Linked DNA regions of Notamacropus eugenii. The protein of the gene in region 1 interacts with the protein of each later gene in a pairwise test. Links are inferred from orthologs where the notes say so. Each region holds a gene or a part of one and is shown in the gene's direction. Other genes may lie near its edges.

Region 1 (7,905 bases):
ACAGCAGAGGTTAGTGATACAAAACTTCAGCTCAGGAGAGAGACTAGAGCTGAATATATAGATCTGGAGATCACCTGCATAGACTTCTCAATTTAACCCATGGGAGAATAGACTTGTCAATTTAGCCAGGTGAGAGAATGTAGAAAAGAAAGAAAATAGCACAAGACAAAGCCCTGGTGTATACTCAGTTGATGGAGGGAAACCAGGATGAAGATCCAGCAAAGAAAAAAATTTGGAACTACGTCTTAGAGTCCTATAAAACTGCGTATACCCTTTGACCCAGCAAAACTACTACTAGGTCTATATCCCAAAGAGATCAAAGGAAAAGGAAAAGCACTTACATGTATGAAGCTATTTACAGAAGCTTATTTTGTGGTGGCAAAGAATTGGAAATCGATGGGATGCCTATCAGTTAGGGAATGGCTAAACAAGCTGTGACATATGATTATGATGGAATACCATTGTGCTACAAGAAATTATGAAGGTGATGGTTTCAGAAAAACCTGAGAAGACTCATGTGAGCTGATGCAAAGTGAAGTGAGCAGAACTAGGAGAACATGGTACATAGTAACAGCAATATTATAATGACATTCAACTGTGAAAGACTTAGCTACCCTAAAATACAATGATCCAAGACAATTCCAAAAAACTCTCAAAGAAAAATGCTATCCACCTCCAGAGAGAACTGATGAACTCTGAATGCAAACTGAAGCATACTTTTTTCATTTTTTGGGTTTTTTTTTGCAACAAGGCTATGTTTTACATGAATTCACATGTATAATTAATACAATATTGCTTGCCTTCTCAATGGATAAGGGGGGGAGGGAGAGAACTAGGAACTCAAAATTTTAAAAAATGAATGTTTTTCTAATTTTTTAACATTTTATTTAAAGTTCTGAGTTCCAAATTCTGTCCGTCCTTCCCCTTCCTGAGGTGGTAAGCAATCAGATTTAGGCTATACATGTACAATTATGTAAAACATTTCCATATTAGTCATTTTGGACAAGCAGACTCAAATAAAATAAAATGAAAGAAAGTGAAAAATAGCATGCTTCAGTCTGCATTCAATCAATATCAGTTCCTTTCTCTGGAGGTGGATAGTATGCTTATCATTAGTCCTTTGAAATTGTCTTAGATCATTGTACTGAGGAGAATAGCTAACTCATTCACAGTTCTTCATTGAACAATATTGCTGTTACTGTGCACAGTGTGCTCCTGCTTCTGCTCACTTCATTCTGCATGAGTTCATATAGATCCTTCCAGGATTTTCTGAAATCTTCCTTTTCTTATAGCACAATAATATTCCACTACAATCACATACCACAACTTGTTTAGCCACTCCCCAATTGATGGGCATCCATCCCTTGGATTTCCAGTTCTTAGCCACCACAAAAAGAGCTGCTATAAATATTTTATACCAATAGTTCCTTTTCCCTTTTGTTGGATGTCTTTAGGATATAGACCTAGGAGTGGTACTGCTATATCAAAGGGTATGCATAGTTTTATAGCCCTTTGGGCATAGTTCCAAATTGCTCTCCAGAATGGTTGGATAAGTTCTCAACTCCACCAACGGTGTATTAGATTCCCAGTTTTCCCACATCCCCTCCAACATTCAATATAAAATATTTTTTTAAAATATATAAATATAATTATATATATAATTTTATTGTATAAATAAAATTTTTAAAAATAAAAATATTAAAACTATATGAAAAAATAGTTGAACTCCTTGGCTGAGAGGGTGGGAAAGATGGGGAGGTATGGGAGGTTTGAGGAAAGAAAATGAAACAGCCTCTGTGCAAAGAGGGACAGAGAGCATCAATTAGGGAGGAATAAAAGGATTGCTTTGCTACAGGGAGGGCCCTATTAAGATTAGATAATATAAAGTGGTAATGCATCCAGTCACCGTGGTTGCACGATATTCTCTAGTTTTGTTCAGCAGCACAAGCAGGAGTAAAAGGGGAAGGTGGTGGAAGAATACATGGTTAATTTTGGGCAAGGCATGATTGTCAACAGGACAAGGGAGCAAGGAAATCAAAATCAGAGGGCCAAAAGTAGTCAAACTGTTTAACTGTAAGATCAAAGTTGAGAAAGTACTGACCAGTGGATGGTCTAGAGGTCATTATCAGATGAAGAAGAGATTTAGGAGGAGTAAGCCATAGGGAGAGATGGAATGATAGGTTATGATAAAAGGATTATAAGGGTTTTTCATCGAGAAGGTATACATGGAGAGTATCCCTGGAGATAAATCATGGGATATAAGGATATATCAGATACTGAATAACTTGAGAATGAGCTGGGGCCAGTAAATGTTAGCCACCATGATTTTGGTTTTTAAAAATGTATCAATAAAAATAACAATCTAATCTAGCTTGTATTGAAATTACATCAAAATCAAGGTGTTATGTAATTTTTTTTAAATAGAAAAATGAGTAGGATTCAGATAGAAAGAAAGGGCAGGGCAGAGTGGAGTGAATATAGCTACAGAGGTGGGAATAAACTTAGCATTTTGCAAGGACAATAAGACCAGTATGACCAGAGCAAAAGAAGTATTTAGAAATGAGGTTAGAAAGGTAGAACAAGGTCAGATTGTAGAAAGTCTTATATACCTGGTTCAGAAGTATCAAACTGATCTTTTAGTTATTTAGGCATTACTACAGGTTTTTGAGCTAGAGGGTAATATGATGTGTTTTGGCAGAATTAACCTAGAAATGGCAGTGTGAATGATGGTTGGAGGCAAGGCTGGTAATGGTAAGAGCGAGGAGGCCAAGAGTTCATGAATGAAGTGGTCATAGGTAAGATTCAGGTAAAGGCCTGAACTGGGGTTGTATCCATGGAGATGAAAAGCTACAGGTGGGAAAAACACTACAAAGAATATACAAGATCTGATAAACATGGAGGTGATGGAGAGCGAAGGATCACAGATGCTTCTGTGTTTTCTCAAACATGGAAAATGGTAAAAGAAACAGTGAAGTCAAGAGGAAGGGGCAATTTTGACAAGGAGACACAGATCATTTTAGATGCACTGAGTGCATCTAGTGAGATGAAAGTAAGACATCCAAACGGAAAAATATCCAGGAGGCAGTTGGAAATGTAAAACTCATCTGAAAGCTCAGAATGACAGATACGGATCTGAAAGTCATCAACAGAAGTACTGATCAAACAGCAAAATAAATGACAATTGAAAACCACAAAGTAAGTTATCAACTACAGAAAGACAAAGAGAAGAACAGGGAAATGCGGAAAAGGCGCCAGAGGAACGAATACTCAAGTGGCTGAAAAAGCAGAATAGTAGTGACTTGAAGAGGCAAGAGAGAGTTCCAAGGAGTCAGGAGAGAACAGTATCAATTTTTTGCAAGTAGGTAAAGGAGAATGAAGGATAAAAAAAGGCCACTGGGTTTGCCAATTAAAAGTCACTGGACATCTAAGAAATAAGACTGCCAAGGGTTAAAGAGCAAGTGGGTAACGAAGGCAGAAGGTAGGCTTGGCAAAGAAGTGGAGGGATGTAACTAGTGGGGGCAGTAGATCAAATAAAGTTTTTTGTTTGTTTTTCCCCTCTCTCCCAAGATTGGGGAGATCCGTGTACTTAAAGGTAGAGGGGAAGCAACCAGTTGGGAGGAAAAGATTGTAGAAATTATGGAGGAAAGGCCTAAAGAAAGCAGAAGACACAAGGGGAGGTTAGCTTTGGGTGGGACTTCATCTGAGGGGTGAGGGTGAGAAAACATAGCTAGAGGCAGAAATATTTCGAGGTAGAGAATACTGGATGAAATAACATCAGATATCCTTCCTGGATCACCTTAGTCAAGTAGGAGGCAGATAAGTCATTCAATTCATCAGGTATTTATTAAACACCTACGACGACGGCATGAATCTGATACAAGCGGAAGGAGACACTGGAGGTATGAGGTAGGATAGGAAAGGCAAGGTTTGGGTAAAGTGCTAGGAAAACGTCTGCTCTGGAATCAGAGATCAAGGAATGGAGTGCTGCGCTGTAACTGAGGAGGTCCAGCAGGCTGGGGAAAGACACTGCCTGTGTGGCACAGGGCAGGGACAGGCAGCAGAGCTTGTGGCATACTCACGGGGGATCGAAAAGCTGCCGAATGCCGTTTGGAGAGTCCCAGGCGTGCCCTAGAAAGCAACCAAGGAAGAGGAGTGGTTAGGGACCCAGGGGGGTGGGAAGAGCGGAGAACCTACAAGGTTACTTGAGAGCTTGGGGACCCCCTGGGGTGAGGACGGCTGGGCAAAGGGAAACTGAATCAGGCTGTTCAGGACACGGCATTGCGGAAGGGATGGAGACCAAGCACAGGTGGAGCAGACCCTAAAGGGCAGAGGTCCCAACGGAGCTGAGGGTCTCTGGGAAGGTGCCAATGGCAGGGCTGGATCTGTGCGTTGGTTTCTTCAGAGGGGAGGCGTCTGATGGTGTTCACTGAAGGCGTCTCTTAAAGGAGGGGCCGTCATCTTAAGACGGGTTTCTGAAGCGGGTGGGATCTTTGGGGAGGGTGGGGTCTTTAGAAGGAATGACGGTGCTCATGATGGGGGGAGGGGGAAGAACAAGCATCTATTAAGCGCCCGCTAAGAGCCAGGCACCGTGCTAGGCACACTGGAAGGGGCTGAGGTCTCCAGAGCAGGGGGTTTCCGAAGAGGGTGTAGGATCTTGGGGGGGGAGAGGTCTACGATGAGTGTCGTCCCCTCCGCACCTCCGGAGGCTCGGGGTCCCGGGCTCCCCTCCCGAGGGTCTCTGCAGCGCGCGGGGCTCCAGGGCTGCCGAGGAGAAGAGCGGCGGCGGGCCTGAGGCTCGCACCCGAACCAGGACGAGCGGGCTCCCCAGGAGCCCGGAGCGTCGGCGCCAGTCGTGAGCAGACCGCGAGACGAGAGGACAGACTGTAGCCAAGTACAGAGGGGCGGGGCGGGTGACGCGGCGCAGGCGCAGACGCTGGGAAGCGCGGCGCTGTCCGACCCCGCCCTTCGCCCTCCCTATGGGAGGAGCGGGTGCGGCGCGGTGGCTGCTGGATGGAATGCCGCGGTGGTTGCCGGGATCACGGTGATGTGGCCCCCCCCGCCTTCCCCCTCCCCGGCCCGGGATGGCGGACGAGACCCGGCAGAGCAAATTGGCGGCGGCCAAAAAGAAGGTAAATGCTCTTGAGACGGCCCCTGCGCTCGGGGGCTCGGCTCCGCCCCCTCCTTTCCCGCCGCCAGGACCCTGACAGACCCCCTCCCGGATCCAGGCTCTCCTCGTTTCTCTCAGACCCCCTTCCGGATCCCTTAGATCGTCCTCCTGATTCTTCTCGGGTCTCCCCCGCCGGTGTCTGAGGGCCACCTTCTCGTGTTCCTCCTCGATCTCCTCAGGGTCCTCGTCCCCAGTCCCGCAGGTCCCCGTTCCTGAACCCCACAGGTCCCGAGCCCCGCGCCCTCCAAGACTTCCCTAAATCCCTGGCGCCCCACGCCCCTCCCCCGCAGCCCCCTTGGTGACTTTGGGCCCGTGACACTCTTTCCCTGGGCCCGACCCGTGACGTCAGGCCCAGCTGTTGGCCTCCCGGAAAGGCCTCCCCCCTTCTCACAGCTGGTGCCTGGAGGGAGATGCCCTCTGCTCGTCTCGGGGCCCCTGGAGCCTCTCGTCCCCTCTCCCACCGAAACCCAGATACCCCAGGAGGGGCCCCAAGGTGAAGGCTTGGGCACGCCAGCAGCCAGGCCTGCCCCGCCCGCTCTGTGGGAATCCGACGCCGTCCTGGACTTCCTCCCTCGGAGCCCTTCCCAAACCTCTTCCAGCCTGTTCTGCACCCTGCCCAACCCCCAGCATCGGACTCCCTTTGCCTCAGACCCAGAGTTAGGGACGGAGGGGGGGGGGTGCGCAGGTGGGGTAGGGAAAGGTGTGTGTGGAAGGACCACATATAGGGTAATATTATAGGGGAGTGGATAATTGTTTCTCTCGGAGTAACTCGTGGGGAGGACTTGGAATGAGGTTGGGCCACCATCCCCCTTCCCAAGTTGTCATTAGAACCTTCTGGCCTGGGAAATGGACGGGATTTTTTAAATGACTAACTGAGGAGGTTCTTGAGCCCCTTGAGAACACTTTCAAAAGAGTTCCAAAGACGTGGAGTGACTGCATCACTGTGTACATTCAGAGACTTAACATTGATGATAACGATGGCTAGTAAGATCCTAAATTTATCTAGTTCCTTGATTCTTATGTTCTCAAAGATTCAAAACATGCTGGAAAAGTGAATGAGAGGATTGTTTCTGCCCAGATTCTAACTCTTTTGAAAGGTCCATGGTTTTTTCTTTCAACTTTCCACCACACCCTCTTATTACCTAAATTTCTGGAACCACAATCCTTTTCATTCATTGCCCTCTGGGATAATATATGCTCACCTATTGGAGGAATGGAGAGGACTTAAAATGAGAGGAATTCTGTTAGGGTTGGGAGAGAAGTTAGTTTTGAGAGGTTAGCAAAGGACTTAAAGTTGGGACACCTGAGGCTGAGTCCGGGTTCTCACACTTAATTATCTGGGCAAGTCATTTCCCCTTTTACCAACTAGTTCTGAGGAACATGCCTTGTAAACTTTAAAGCACTTTGGAAGTATGACTTATTAAGGAAACTGAGCATCTGAGCTGTGAATCATTTCTCAGCACCTAGAGAGCCTTTGGGCAAAGTTGGAATCCAAACCTAGCTGTTTGACATGCTTTCTTCTTGAGCCCACCTCATTGTATAATTTGCACTGTCCTGGACCCTGGATCATGACCCTTGCCATTTCCAACCCTAACCTTTTCCTCTCCAAAGTTGAAGGAGTATCAACAGAAGACCAGCCCTGGTACCCCAGCAGGAGCCAAGAAAAAAAGGAAAACGAAAGATGGGAATAACCCCGAGACTCCTCCATCTGGCGACCGACACTCTCCTGAGGATGTGAGTCTTAATTAGAAACACTCCCTTGGAAAGATGGAGAAAAAGGGGTGACCTGACTCAGCTGACAGTTTTCCCCTATCCCCAGAAGAAGCGTTACAAATGAAAACGGCACCAAGCCACCTGCCCTTCCCTTTAAGACATACTAGCAAAGTCATGGTGGGAGTGAAGTCATATAATAGAAAAAGACCTGGAAATTGGAAATCAAGAAATCTAGATTCTTGTCTCATTTCTGCTACTCACTGCATGACTTGTGCAAGTCACTTCACTCCTCTGAACCTGTTTAAAAGAAGTAAAAGAGATAAACTAAGTATTCTTAGATGGCACTTCTAGCTTTATTGTTTTAGGATTTTATGATTCTGTGAACTTCTCTCCAGCTTTTCTGGATTATGTTAACATGGCCTTGCCCAAACAAGGCCAAAAGTAGATGTTAGGAAGGCTATCCCCAACCGCTGTCTATGGATTGGGTCCTTACCTTAGCCACCTTCAGTTCCCATCCTTACCCCCATTTCCTTAAGCCTGTCCCTTCCACTCTTCCCAACTCTTATCTCCTCCCTCTAAGCCACCTCTCTTTCTCTCTTCTTCCCTTTTTGTTTCTCCCTTTTCGCCTCTTGTAGATTCAGGACATTCTGAAGGTGCTGGTGTCCGACCTTAACCGTTCCAATGGGGTAGCGCTACCCACATTGGACAAGCGGAAGGTGAGACAGTGCCGAGGTCCCCTCTCACTGGCTTGCTTTCCCAGCTCTGCATGCCCCCAAGACTTCTCTGGGTTTGGGGATGACCTCCTGCTTTATTTTTCTGTTGCTGTCATTAACCCATGGTGGCCTGATTACTCCCTCATGTTCTCCTACTTTGTTAGTTTTGTTTTTCCCCTCTCCCACCCCTTTGTTATCTAGGAGGAAGTAAAATGCATTTTGTAGCTAAAGGTAGAGTCAGGAGAGTCTTCAGAAAATTTTTGGTCTGTTGGTCACTATAAAAAAAATGTAAGAAACACCCTGGGTCCCTCC
Region 2 (7,628 bases), on another chromosome or scaffold:
CCTGTATGGTCACAAAGCTAGTAAGCATCAGAGGCATAATTTGAACTCAAGTCTCTCCTAACTCCTAGGTTTGACTTCTTTTTCCTCACAGGTGGAGCAGAAGTGAATAGGTTTGGGTTGGGGTTTTTCAAGCCTCTGGGCACTAACAACCTCTTGATCTAAAAGACTTCTCAGAAACTCCCAAATCCTCTTCTCAGTCAACTTCTTTCTGAAAGGTTCAGCCAGCATCACTTAAAACTCCTTTTCTATATATTAGCCCTAAGGGAATTGCTGGAGATGGGAAGTAAAGCCACATCATGGGGAATGGAGAGTAATAGGGGCATGGTCTAGACAGGTTCTCTGAGTGACATCAGGAATTAGGGGACATGGCCTGAGATTCAAAGGAGATATTTAGAATAACGGTGATCTTTCCCTGTCCTTTTGATATCCTGTCTCCCCCCATCCTAAGATTCTCGACAGGAATGGCTGACTGCCCTACAGGACCCTGGCATCTTGGCAGCTCTAGCCCAGGACCTGGGACTGGTGCTGTTATTCATGGGGCAGCACAGTCTTATGGCAACAGAGCCTGTGAAGACATGGATGGCCCAGCGCTTTGGGGTCCTACAGAGGTCACTCTATGTGGCCTGCACTGCCCTGGCCCTGCAGGTATGGGGACTAGACAGCTAGGTCCCCAAGAGAAGTAGGGTCTGGGGAAAGGAAAGCCTGGGGATGAGGGTGCCAGATGCCTGGGTTCCTGAGTAAACTGAGAATTAACAGAGAATGAGCTGGAAGCATTCAAACCTCTGCACATTCTAATCACTAAACTCTCTAACTGCAGCTCCCACTACTTCCCTACTGTAGACTGAGTAGGCCCATTGTTTCCCAAACATACCCCCTTCTTTTTTCCTCCCCATTCCCCCCTGCTTGGAATGCCTACCACCTCCTCTCTTTTCCAAAACCTGCATATGCCTTTAAGGCCTGATCTTCATCTCCTAGTTCCTCAAAGAAGTCTTTACCAATGACCATAGTTTTATTGTTGATCTCCTCCCTCTTTTGAGGTCCTTTTTCTAATATGACATATTGCCATAGACCTTTATCACATATGATATATATATGCCTGATAATTATATGTTGCTTTATTATTTATCTCTAGATACATATTGTAACCAAATTGTAAGCTCCTCTAGGGCAGTGATCATACATCTTATAAATATGCTAAAACATTTATTCTCTCCTGTGTGCTTCCACACTGTGCCAGTGATATTCCTAGAGTACAGGACTAGCCTGCTCAATAAATTTCAGTGGTTCCCTACTACCTCTAGGATCAAATATGAAATTCCCTGTTTAGCATTTAGAGCCCCTGCTCAGTCTGGTTCCAACTTACCTTTCCAACTCTTATTTTACATTGTTGTCCTTCATATGCTTATGTCTGTCTAGCCTGGCCTTCTCTCTCTGTCTTTCTTTTACTCCCAATCCCCCCCACCCCACCCCCCCCCACACACAAAATTCTGCCTCCCATCTCTGGACTTCTGCACAAACTTTCCCCTCCCACCTACCCCCACCCCATGCTTCCTCCCCTATGCCTCCTAGAATCTTTTTTTTCCTTTGAAGCTCAGCTCAAGCACATCTCCTACATGAGACCTTTCCTGAGCCCCTTGTATTTATTTTATATGTACTTCTCACTCCTATAGAATAGGAGTCTCATGGACGAGACTTTCATTGTTGCCTGTGCCTGGCATGTAGTAGGCCCTTAATAAATGCTGTTGATTGATTGCAAGGTCTGAGATCCAGATAGGATTTTAGAGTAGCAGTGAGAGATATCTACCCCCCACTTCTGAGGCTTAAGAAAAATAAATAAAGCATGATCTAATACTTGCTTGTAATTCCGTCACCTAACATGGCATCCTACATATAGTGGACATCAAAAAACATTTGTGTTTGTTAATAAGGGTTTGAAAACCAGTCTTGGAGCACCCTGCATGAATTATTAGAAGTAAAAGCCATCAGGGAGCTAGAGATGTGTGTGTGTGTGTGTGTGTGTGTATTGTGGCATTGTGGGAGGTGAGGGGGGAGCCTCCCCTCAACATATTAAATGATTACATCTCCAAGGGGAGTTGAATCTAGCTATCCCCTATCTGTTTCTTTCAGGTGATAATGCGTTATTGGGAGCCAGTGCCAGAGGGCCCAGTTCTCTGGGAAGCACAGTCAGAGCCCTGGGTGACCTGGGTACCCCTTCTCTGCTTCGTGATGCACATCATAGCGTGGCTTCTCATTTTTAGTATCCTCTTGGTTTTTGACTATCCTGAACTCATGGGCCTCAAACAGGTAATTTCCAGTTCCTGGGCCTCTAACCTTTGGACATCATTCTTTATCTCTTCTAAGACTTGAATCACCTTCAATCTCCCCATCCCTAACCAATCTTCACAAGTTTTTGCTCCACCCTCACCTCGGTCTACCAGTTACCTTTCTTTCCCCCCCACCATGGAGCCATGATCTCATACTCCTCCCCCAGAATCTAGAAATGGTAGCTCCCATGGATTTGTAGGAGAGTCAAGAGCCAAGAGTTAGGCTCAAAGGGGAGACCTTAGTCCCAAGGATTGAAGGAGGATTAGATTTATATCCTTGGAGAAATGGAAGAGGTAACCTTGGAAGATGAGCAGAGACAGCCTTTTATAAGGAATTGAGGGAGTAGAATTAGAGGCAAAGGGATATAATGATTCAATTTCTGATCTAATGTCCTTCCATCCCTCTCCCATAGGTATATTACCATGTGCTGGGGCTGGGGGAGCCATTGGCTCTGAAGTCCCCTAGGGCACTGAGACTCTTTGAGCACTTGAGACATCCTGTGTGTGTGGAGCTCCTGACAGTGCTGTGGGCTGTGCCCCGACTGGGCCTTGACAGAATCCTCTTGGCTGCACTGCTCACCCTCTACCTGGGCCTGGCACATGGGCTAGACCAGCAAGACTTGCGCTACCTCCGTGCCCAGCTTCAAAGAAAGCTTCAGTTACTTGCTGGGCCCCAAGATGTAGATGCTGAGTGAAAGTGAAATCTAGTCCCTAGGATGAAACTATTGTCCCTAGACTCTAAAGCCCTGACTCCCCATTCAAAGTTCTGTTCCCTGAAATCTAAGAGTTATCCTAGAGAATCTGTCTTCTGGATTCCAAGTTCCACTCCAGAATCTGAGGTTTCCACACCTACTCTAACTTGAGAGGCCACCCCTTGAAGCTTGGGGCTGTATGCTTCTAGGTCCTTTGATGCCTCCCCCCCACCCCCAAACTCTGTCTCTCTTGAATTCCCAGCTCTACCTCCTAGACTCCAAGTTTCTCTCCCTGTGAACTTCAGCAGGGTTCTCTAGATATGGTATACAGCTAGCTCCTTGACTTGGAGCCCATACTCAAATTCTAGATTTAGTATCCCTTAATCCAGGATCCCACTCCCCTACCTAAGGACCCCTCAATGCAATCTAGAAAGAGAGATGAGGTACTGAAGGAGGAATGAGGATTTTGGGCTTGTCCCCAACTAGAGACCTCTTTCTGCCTATTTTCCTCTCCAAATCCTAGGGGAAGAGGTTGGCCCTGATCAGTCTACTATCACTGATCCCCAGCCCCATTCTCAGGGACCCCTCCTTTTCCTTTATATCTTCACCTACCCCAGAACAGAATTGTTTTCCAGCCTCCAGACTGAAGTACCTTTCCTTAGTTCTCTATCCCCCATTGTCCAGCCTTTCCCTCAGCGTCCTTGAGGTTCCTTTTAAAATTTCTCCCTCACCACTTAGGCTCTATGTCCTTGAAGCAAATGTTGGGAGGACGGGGAAAGAACCTCTTCACTCCCCACCTCAGTGCCTTCATGTTTCCCAAAGAACATGTAAGAAGCTGGCCAATAAATCCAAATATTATGTCTTCTTTACGTGCCTCTTAAGGTCACAAGTGTTTATCTCTGGTCTGGACAGTTAGCTGGTTCCGGATCCTTAGAGAATGGAAGGGAGAATTGAAACAGGGAGGGGCAGAGTAGAGTGATAGGCCTAAGACCAACTGTCTCAGCAGCTACAAAGTAGGGGGTGGGGATGACGGGTGGAAAGAAAGCAAATGCTTGCAGTAACTACAGCTACTGTTCCCTCCAGTGGCCACTATGCTTCGGCCATTCCTCAAGGTCCTGCCTTCTATCATTTTGAGGATGCCCCAGTCTCCCACCTTCAGGAAGGGGGCATAGTTACTTCTTCCGCTAGCAATCCCGCCTGCCAACACCTGGATGATCTCAGGGTTGAGTAGACCGCTGATTTGAAAGGTGGAAGCCCAGTCCCTAACCAAATCAAAGCCAAGCATGCAGGAGTCTCCACCCATCCCGCCGACTTTGATCTTAGACCCGCTCCACCCCTACCCCCAATCACTTTCAGTCCCCACTCCCAACCCGGCAGTCTTGACCAGCGACCCTACAAAAATAAAGCTCTGGGAGCTAAGAAGGGAGGAGGGCGGGAGATGGGCTGGGCAGGACGGCTCCCAGCAGCTGCTGCTTCCTCCCTGGGCCCCCCTAGGGGCCTGAGTCACGGGCCACCGCCCTGGACCGGGGCTTTGGGAGGGGGAAAGAGGAGGGAGGAAAGATTGGGGGTGGGGGGTGGAGAGTCCCGGGAGAAGTTGAGTGCAAAGGACACCTGGGTCCCGCAGGGCAGAACGGCCGAAGGAGAGTGAGGCAGCTGGAGGTTGAGGATCAGGATACTTGGGTCCCAGAGAGGAATGAGAGCGGTGAGCTTGGGGGTTGCGCGTCTGGGAGTGCTTTCCAGAGAAGAGCCAGCTAGGGGGTCCTGGGGGCGGGAGGCCCCGCCCCTTGAAGCCAGTTCCGCCTCTCGCCCCCTTCTCTCTCCCCATTGTCCTCAGACAAAGCGGTCGCCGCCCCCAGCCCGGCCCCCCTTGGTTTGGGTCTATCTCTCCTCCTCCTTCCCTCCTTCCTCCCTCCCTCCCTCCCATCTCCAACTCTGCCTCGCTCCCTTTCTTTCTCTTCCTTCTCTCCCTCTCCAGACGCTTTCTCGACCTCGAACCCCCTCCCTCCCCCGTGGGACCCTGCCAGTACGTGAGTTGGGAGGGGGGGTTCAGACTCCGAGGATAGATGTCCCCACCCTCATCACCTTCGGCCGCCACCCTTTTCCCCTCCACTCTTTCTTCTGCCTGGGAGATTTTCTTTGTGTAGCGAGTAGGAGTAGAGTGCGAGAGAGGCTAGGGACCGCAACATCTCGCTCCCAGGGTCAGAGTGACAGGGGACTCTGGAGGGCGACGGGGGAGGACACCTAGGTGCCTAACTGAGGTGAAGAGGGCTGGACAGACCAGAGCTGGTTATCTGGGTCCCCGGACTGGGAGGAGGGCTATGGGCGAGGGGGAGGAGTGGACATCTGGGTTCTGAGAAGGGGTTGGGTGCTCGGCCGCCTGGTTTCCAAAAGTCCCCGGGTACTGTCTTTTCCCAGACCCGCCCCAAGAGGCGGGGTGCGTAGGCCCGGTGGGGGGAGGAGGGGGTGGCCCGGGACTGGAGGGGCGTGGCTGGTGAGAGGTTGGAGGGGAAGCTAGAGTCCGCTAGGGCCCACGCTGTGACTGGCAGGTCTGCTGCACAGTTCCCTCCTCCCCTCTCTCCTTATCCCCTTCTTACCCTTTCCCCTATCCCTTTGGTGCACCCTTACCTCTCCCCTTTTCCGTGTCCATCCTCCCTCCCCCCAACACCATGGCTTCGCTTTTTCACCCCCCACGTCAGGAGTTCCCCTAACCTCCACATCTCCCCCTTTAGCCACCCACTTGGTTCCTTCCCCTGGTTCTTCTCCAAACTGTCTTCTCTTCTTTTTTCTCTTCTCTCATCTAAAATATTCTGTCATCCTCCACCATACCCCAATATTCTATCTTGCTTTTTTCTCCCTTTCTCCCTCCCAGCTTTCTTCCCCTCCATTGTATCACTCAGTCTCTTCCCTCCCCCTACTTTTCTTCTGTTCAGTTCCTCAGTATTTCTTCTGATTCTCCCTTTCTTTTCATTCTTTTCTAGCAGTTCTCTTCCCTTTCCTAGTCTTCCTGTCTTTCCCTCTTTCCAGGGGATTCTCTCTTCCTTTCTTCTACTTTGTCTTCCCACACAAACTCTCCGCCACATTTCCTCTCCCTCTGCCCCACCAGTACTTTCATTCTCCAGTTCTCTTACTTCTTTCTTCTCCCTGACGTTGCTCCATCTCCTCCCCTCCAGTTCTCTTGCCCCACTGGGACCATGGCTACTGTCCCAGATTGGAAGTTACAACTACTAGCCAGGCGAAGACAAGAAGAGGCTGCTGTTCGAGGCCGGGAGCAGGCTGAGAAGGATCGACTGGCCCAGATGCCAGCTTGGAAACGGGGACTATTGGAGCGACGCCGTGCCAAGCTAGGAGTGCCAGTGGGGGAACCAGGTCCTGGGAATGAGGCTACAGATGCAGCACCTCCTGAACTCGATGAGCCTGTGGTCCTTCTAGAGGCCATTGGACCTGTCCACCAGAATCGCTTCATCCGCCAAGAACGCCAAGAGCTAAAGCAGCAGCAGCAGCAAGGTGTGGAAGAGCAGCTCACTGATCGGAGGCCACCTGAGGGTCGAGGACACATTTCAGGGAGAGGGGAAGCCCGAGAGCAGAGACCCAGCATGGCAGAGGCTCAGGAACAGAGTCTGGTGGGAAAAGAGTCAAGAGAGCAGAGGCTGAGCCTGGGGGAGTCTGGAGATAGGAAGCTGGGGGTAGCAGAAGTTCCAGAGCAAAGCCTTAGGCCTGCAGAGGCCTTGGAATGGAGATTGAGCCCAAGGGAGACTGAGGAGAGGAGCTCCAGCCTTTCAGAGTCACGGAAATGGAAGAAAAGCCCTGGGGAAGCTCGAAAACGAAATGTGAATCCAGCAGAACCTCAAGAACAGACCTCTGGGGCATCTGAAATGGGAGAATGTAGACTGAGCTCAGGAGACCGTGGAGAGCGTGGAGAACTGAGGCTGGGGATGACAGAGATACACAAATGGAGGATGAATTCCAGAGAAGTCTTGGAACAGAGTCCAGAGCCGTTGGAGGCTCGAGAATGGAGGATCAACCCAGGAGAAGAAAGCAAAGGGAGATCAGGGGAATCGGGGACAGAACAGAGACTAATGCAGAGGAAATCCAGGGAGAACTCAGGACTTTTAGAGACACAAAGATGTAGGTTAAGTCCTGGTGAGTTTCGAGAACGAAGCCCAGGGGTAATGGAGGCAGCAGAAATGAGGTTGAATTCAGGAGAGGATGTAGAGAAGAGTTCTAGACAGTTAGAAGTAAGGAAATGGAGACTGAACTCTGGGAAGGCTCGAGAATGGAGCCCTGGGAGATCGGAGGCTGAAGGGCAGAAGACAGCACCTTCAGACTCTGGAGATCAGAAGTTGCTGTTGCCTACACTGAAGGCCGAAGAAGGGAGGATAGGGGCTGCTGTAGAGGAAGCTGGGGATGGAGGCAGGATGGTGAGCTCCCTTAGAAGCCACTACTCTGTAACCTCCCCCTCACCACCTGAGGAAGTTGGGGCCGGAGGCTCAGGGCTGCAGGAAGAGGAAGCAGCAGAACCTCAGCCCCCACCACCACCTTCAGTATCTCCCCTACCCCCTGCCCCACCAACTCCTCAGCCCCCAGGGGACCCGCTGATGAGTCGCCTGTTCTA

Evidence for each region. The genes of interacting proteins can lie anywhere in the genome.
Region 2: the proteins of GOLGA2 (region 1) and PPP1R18 interact in binary tests that used the Homo sapiens proteins (3 or more experiments, as listed by UniProt). The two-hybrid records come from large-scale screens. The link is inferred for Notamacropus eugenii from reciprocal best matches to the Homo sapiens genes GOLGA2 and PPP1R18.

What each region holds. Positions count from the first base shown.
Region 1 is NC_092872.1:479,583,272-479,591,176, reverse strand, and holds the start of GOLGA2 (golgin subfamily A member 2), read left to right. Parts: upstream 1-4,903; 5' UTR 4,904-5,081; coding exon 5,082-5,129; intron 5,130-6,778; coding exon 6,779-6,901; intron 6,902-7,515; coding exon 7,516-7,596; intron 7,597-7,905. UniProt on the Homo sapiens protein: Peripheral membrane component of the cis-Golgi stack that acts as a membrane skeleton that maintains the structure of the Golgi apparatus, and as a vesicle thether that facilitates vesicle fusion to the Golgi membrane.
Region 2 is NC_092873.1:84,556,631-84,564,258, reverse strand, and holds the start of PPP1R18 (phostensin), read left to right. Parts: upstream 1-4,626; 5' UTR 4,627-4,709; coding exon 4,710-4,718; intron 4,719-4,957; exon of another isoform or gene 4,958-5,043; intron 5,044-5,255; exon of another isoform or gene 5,256-5,274; intron 5,275-6,186; coding exon 6,187-7,628. Other genes in the region: NRM (nurim), read left to right, coding at 449-645, 2,128-2,304, 2,738-3,019.